2 linked regions of the Kluyveromyces lactis genome follow. The protein of the gene in region 1 interacts with the protein of each later gene in a pairwise test. Links are inferred from orthologs where the notes say so. Each region holds a gene or a part of one and is shown on either strand. Other genes may lie near its edges.

Region 1 (2,434 bases):
GAAGGAGCAGCAAGCGCAAGATGAAGAACAAGTGAAAGATGATACTAAAGATGTATCAAAGGAGAAAAAGCAAGAAGAAGACAAAGGAAATGATAAGCAGGTCAAAGGTGATCTGCTCACTGAAGGATCTTTCCCATCGGCGGAGAGCACAACCCCTGTTGCTGCGTCTTACGTTACTGAGGAAGATGACACCAGATCGTCTGTTGCTTCTTTTACCGATAGGATAAAGAAAGCGGCTAACCTCTCAACGGAGAATATTGCCAATCCATTCATGAAATCCACAGCAGTTGAAAACAAAGATTCCTCACCTTTTTCGGGCTTCACAAATTCCTTATCCAAAGATACAGGAAAGGCTCCCGCATTTTCCTTTGCCAATCTCAAGAAGGATGGTTCTGAAATTACCTCACCACTGTCTAATGTCAATTCTATTAGCAACGAAAGTGTTATGAGAGAGCCAGAACCAGAATTAAAACAGAAAACTGGTGATGAGCCGGACCCCGAAGTGGCAACTCCCTCTACTAACCTCGCAAGTTCAGAACAGAAAAAGGAAGCACTTTCAAAGGATCAAGAAATTGTACCATCTTCAACTGTCAGTCCAGAATCTGGTAGCGTCTCTTCTTCACCAGTTGTGGTAGATTATCCTCCAGTCAAAATGAGTAAATCATCCGGTACTACTACAAAAGAATATGTTTCACAGCATGTGCAAGCGAGTGTACCTGTAGGAAGCGCTTCCACTCAAAGTCTTACTAAAGAAAGTGCAGACTTTACTTTACAAGCCTTTGAAAATGATGAGCAATATATAGCTGAAAGGTATCTTCCTGAAATGCCTAGTGCTTTCTATTCCACTGCTGAACTTAAAGAATTCAGTACAATATCTTCCGATGAAGTTGTACAGGCCGTTGAAAAAACAAATGCTCAAGTTTTAGCAAACATTCAAGTGTTACGCTCAAATATCGACAACATTGGGAAGTTTATAGGTGACCATTCCCAAAATTTATTCAAACGTACTGAGAAAACTGTCCCAATTGTCTCCTCCTGGAGACTTGGTGAGGCGGCCACTCTTTTGGATATCCTTACTTCCAAGGCTAAACAAAGCTACGAATTGAAACAGTCTTACCAAAGGTTAGCAGATAGTTCTTCTGCGGTAACTAATTTCGACATGCTAATCACGACACTAAAACGCCAATATGACATTCTTGAACTCTCCAACAGGACATCTAATCATTCCAACAGGAAACTTTCTTGGAGTCAGCATCATATCTCAACTATGGTAAAGAGGAAACTTGAAGAAGTCTCCTCGAAACTGGATGAAATTAGAGAATCCATTCAAGTACTAAAGCTTTACAATCTTACAAATACCAAGGAAGCACTGCATGCTGTGCAGCAATTGTCATTAAACGGAGGCATTGGCAGAGAAAACTTGTTAACAGAGATTCAGTCGTTAAGAGAAGAAATTTCTGTGTTAAAATTGTCGGCAGAAAAACCAAACCAACTAGAACCTGAGAATCTATTAATTAACACAGCTTCTACATCGTTGCCCCTTCTCGAAACTACTTTGGAGTTATATACAAGGGCTCAATTAGGAGATTTTTTCTCATCTAAACTGTCTACGTAATGTGTAGAACGAAATGGTCCAGTTGAATACGCTAAATAATTGCTTGCATCCACCTTTTCAAACCTTAATTAAGCCATTATTAAAGCAAGATGTTTCCTGAACTCTTTAATTAGAACATCATTTTCTTGCTTAGTACCAATGGTGATTCTTAAACCACCTGCGCAGCCAGGCTCATTACCTCTATATCTTGTTATAACAGCTGATTCAACGGCAAGCCTTTCATATAGCTTCTTAGTCAAAGCGTTGTCTCCATTGTTGATGTTTAATAAGATGAAATTAGCGTCTAGGCCACCCAATTGGGAAACATATGGAGAAGAAGTCAACTCCTTCAACACTCTCAATTTTTCCTTTTTAACTGTGGCAGCATTCTCTTCCATCAATTTCAAGTTTTTTGGTTGTACTGCTTTCAAAGCAACTTCTGCAGTCGAGCAAGAAATATTATAAGGAGCCTTCATCGAATTCAAGACTCTTGACATAGCTTTAGATGTATACGTAACTCCTAGTCTGATTCCAGCTAGGCCAAATGACTTAGAAAGAGTTTGTAAAACAGCAATATTTTCGTACTTTGTTGCTAGCGGTGCCAAGGACCCCTTATCAGAACCCTCAACAAAATCGATGTATGCTTCATCTACAACAACAAGACCCGTTTGCCATTGTGATAGAATCTTTTCAATACGATTAACATCGATAAAGGTACCAGTTGGATTACCTGGTGAAGTAATGAACACCAACTTGATTGAGGGATCGTTTTGCAAAGTTTCTAAGATCTTTTCCTCATCGATTTGGAATTTGTCTTCTTCAGATAACAATAATGGTACC
Region 2 (4,311 bases), on another chromosome or scaffold:
CATAAAAGAGGTAGGTAGAGAAGAGAATAAAACAGAATAATGAGTTATTAAATAAAATACAAGGGTAGAATAATAAGTAGTGCAATAGTGAGAATAAAAGAGAGTAGTAAGTAGTAGAAGAGTAGGGAATAAGAGTAGTAGGAGTAATGAGAATGATAGTAGTGGATCAAAGGAAATTTGAACTGGTCGACTTCTTTATATTAAAAAGGATGAGGGAACTGGCGTCCATAGATCCAATGAACAGTGGTTGGAGTGAATAAACTGTCAAAGGCAGTGAATTATGCAAGTGAGTTGTCTGTGGAAGTCAGTGTATTGTTATTAATAGTAGGCAGGCAAACAAGAGCGAATGAAAAGAATCACAAGTTAGATTGCAACTTTTGTTGTTCTCTTGCCCACCTTGCTGTATCTCTAGTGTTTTGAGAAAAGGATTGATTGGTTTTCACGTCCTTTACAAACTTAATCATCCATGGTTGTGTATAGAATTGTTGGAGCCTTCCGTCTGGGTACATGGCAGCAATATCACCCACTATACCGACTGCTGTTCTTGCAATTGAATCTTCTAATGCAACACTTGGATTATCAGCCAATAAGTTGATAAATTGGAAAATTGAACCTGTGTAAGGAAACAATGCATCTGGTTGGTCGTGTAGCCCTGTTATTATTCCTACGTATGCGTCCAATATTGATTCGTATAATTTATATTGATAATCGAGGGCATCAGAAGAGCTATAATTCGGTTTATAGTTTTGAGCCATGACGCACACGGACATAACTTGGGACAAATACTGTATAAAATCTGATCCAATGTTGGTGGCAATATCACCAAAAACAGAAAGGACTGCAGGTTGTAATTCCTTCTTCGCATCTGGAGAAGAAAGCATTTGCCCAAGAACACTCATGAACGATGGAGCGAATTTCTTGAAGTCATCCTCTAAAGAGTTAGAGATATCAGCAATTAGATTGACGGCAGTGATAGAAACTTGGGACTGTACTTGATTTAACGCATTAACCAAATATGGGGAGAAACTTTCCAAATACTTTTCAAAGTTTTTACCCAACGCAGATGCTAGAGCAGAAATAGCGTAAAAGACATCATCTTCCACGTATGTTGTATCATTCTTGCTCAAAAGTTTCATAAATAGATCCATCAACATATCTGCTACTGGATTAACAGATTGTGGGTTCTTTCTAATCACTGCAGCCAAAACAGATAAAATGTTCGATTGTAATTCATGTAAGTTTTGTCTATCTTCAGCTGTTAATTGAGCTTCATCCACTTGCATTGTTTGTCCAAGTTTATCCAAAACAAAAGTGGAAATTGAGGTAGTAGTTTCCCCGACTTGGTCATTAGCGAACTCTACTAAAGTAGTCAAAGCAGAAAATACAGATGCTCTAGCATTATATTCATTGTCTGACCTGTTTGAAGCTTCAAGCAATGCGCTAACAAGAACTGGATAATAATTGTATATCGGAGAAGAAGGGGTATCAGCTAATTGTTCGACAAGGTTGATAATCGTCCAAGAACAATTGGTAGCCACTTTTGGATGGTCTTTTAACCCGATCAAACAAGCGTTTACAACATCAGAAAGATGGTCTTGAGGATCTATAGCAGCAACGACTGAGTCTGCAATTCTGCCGATGCACCATGCTACTGTTTCCTTCACTTGCAAAACTGGATCCGTTATTAGGTTGAGGATAGGTGGTAACGCTTGATGGACTAAACTAGTCAATTGAGTTTTGTCAGGACCGTCCAATATAGAACCAAAAGCCATCACAGCCGCTTCGCGTTGTCTCCAATTGTCACTGGTGATGTTCTGTTCAACGAAGTGCAAGACAGGTTCTACTACGTAGTTACCACAGTTTTGAGCGAATAGTTGCAAACAAGCACCAGCAGACATTGCCACGTTCCAATCATCATCATCCGGATCTTCATTTTGCTTTGTTAAAAGCTGTAATAGAGTTGGCACCACTTCTTGGATGGATACTAGAGCAAAATTGTAAGATTCCAAGCCTGGGTTGGAGTACTGTGACAGTTCAAAAGCAATATCAATTTCTTCTTCACAGATGGTAGACCAAAATTCAACGGCCATTGCTGCCACCTTTTCATTGGATGATTGTATAGTAGCCACGGTCAAAGCGAATAGAGCTTGTTCCATGTAAGGTTTCATGTAGAAATAGTATAGTGACATGATTTTACAAAGACAACCAAATGCGGCCGCTTGAATATCTTCATCCGAAGCCTGGGTAGCTTCACATACGACTTGCATCAAGTAATTTCTTTCACCCTCACGTTCCATATTATTCTTAATGAATGCAAGCGAGTCAGCCAATGCATTAAGCGCGGTAAGTCTGACAATCTTAGAAGTTTCGTTCGACTGTGCACCTTGAACGATAGCGATCAAAATGTTGTTCGATTGATTGATTAAAGTTTCATCACTTTGGTCTGCACTTTCACAGATATAACCCAATGTCAACAAGGAAGCTCTCTTAACATTTTCTGGTTGTTCTTGAGCGGTATTATCTACCATAATCTTCATCAACTCTGGCCATTGATTCAATGGCAATTCGATCTCTGCAATGGCAGCGATCAACTGAGCTGAAGCGTTGGCAACACGAGTCTCTGGATCAACCAACGCTTGTAACGCAAACTGCTTAATATGATGTCTAGACTCTGCATCGACTTGCGTAGACCAACGTTGAGCAAACTGCTGGGCCTTTGTTGGGTTCTTCGAAATCAATTCGTTCTTCAACGTCAAACCTGCTAGAATTCTAGCTTCAAGACGAACGGACACATCGGCCAAGATCTGAGACAAAAGTCCAGCGAATTGCAAGAAATTATCGTTAGATAATTTCTTCAACGTCGTCTCCGCTTGAAGACGGACCGTTGGGTCCGGAGTAATGATAATGTTTTCCAAAAACTGGGCAACCTCGGAAGCTGACATAACGATTTGTAAAGGGTATTATAACTTACTAGTGTTTCCAAATCCTAGCGGGTCGTTTCAATAGTCAGTCTCCAAAATTATAGAAATAAAACAAGGAACTGCAACAGCAAACGGCAAATAATAAATTTTCACACTTGGTTCACTTTATAAAAGTATCAGTATATCGAATAGCGACGTTAGATCTTCCTTTATTCTGTAATTATTCGGCGCCTACTAACGAGTTTCTGAGTATGAACTCTCGATCAAGTGTCTCACGAACCGTTCTCCCTTGCACAAGACACCTAAACGCAAGGATACAAAGTGAAATGTTTCCCTGTTTCTTGGATCCTAAGTTCTTTTGTTTACGAAATGTTTTCTAGTTGTTTTTGTTTGATAAATAGATGTGAAGGAAAGAAATTCTTTGAAGCTTGGGAATAAGCAAAAAATAAGAAAAAGCTGTGTAGCATCTTGTAAAGCGCGTTTGTGCTACGATTTGGAGTGGAATCAGATGGAAAGTAAAAGAGTCTGTTACCCGGATATATTGCCTAGAAAACAATGTATGAACCCCATAAATGAAGAGAAAAATAGGGATCGTGCTCCTGTTTAACGGAGGGTAACTTATATACTGCTAGGGAAGAAAGAATTTTTTGCCACTCAACTGCAAATAGCCGGGTAAATAGTTGGCGTTAGCTTGTTCACGTGACTTGTAATTCGTGTTTCAAACCGAGTAATAAGGGTATTATCATTAGCTATATGGATCAAGGATAATATATATGTAGATATAGATAGTTAGTTAGATGATGCAATAACTTGCGAGACCATCCAGCTCTATGGGGCGTATTTCTTGATCAATTGGTCAACCAATTCGATGTACTGTTGTTCGGCATCTTCTTGGGAAGTGCCCTTCAACAATTCCCAGGCGTCCCACTTGTAACGGTCCTTCAAGTTGAACATGCCTGGTTTTTCCTTGGTGTTGTCACCGACGGTTGCTTGCTTGTATAGAGCATACAATTTCAACAATTCATCGTTATTTGGAGTTGATGGCAATTCATTGACAGCTTTAGCCTGCAGATAAATGTAAGATGCGGTTAGTATGATTATTAAGGGAAATCAAAAGCCATTGCAACAACGATTCCACATACCTTTTCTTCGAATAATTGAGAAACCATTGTGTTTTGAGTGAGTGTCGATATCTGACGTATTGAACTAACACTTGTCTTTCACAAATCCTTCGTTTAGTACCATGTGTAAAGCTTCTCTTGATTTTGTGCATTAGGTATTTATATGTTTTTTCTCACTGAAAACAACTTCCTCCAGTTTTTGCTTACATGGCACGAAACTTTTCATAATGAACGGCATTAGTATTCAGGTAAGATCTAACAGCTGATGC

Evidence for each region.
Region 2: the proteins of NUP159 (region 1) and KAP95 interact in binary tests that used the Saccharomyces cerevisiae proteins (3 or more experiments, as listed by UniProt). The link is inferred for Kluyveromyces lactis from reciprocal best matches to the Saccharomyces cerevisiae genes NUP159 and KAP95.

The regions. Positions count from the first base shown.
Region 1 is NC_006042.1:328,011-330,444, reverse strand, and holds the end of NUP159 (FG-nucleoporin NUP159), read left to right. Parts: coding exon 1-1,615; downstream 1,616-2,434. Other genes in the region: HIS5 (histidinol-phosphate transaminase), read right to left, coding at 1,684-2,434. UniProt on the Saccharomyces cerevisiae protein: Functions as a component of the nuclear pore complex (NPC).
Region 2 is NC_006038.1:508,798-513,108, reverse strand, and holds KAP95 (karyopherin beta), read right to left. Parts: upstream 2,943-4,311; coding exon 357-2,942; downstream 1-356. Other genes in the region: long-chain fatty acid transporter ACB1, read right to left, coding at 3,750-3,986, 4,064-4,090. UniProt on the Saccharomyces cerevisiae protein: Importin beta subunit that functions in nuclear protein import through association with the importin alpha subunit, which binds to the classical nuclear localization signal (cNLS) in cargo substrates.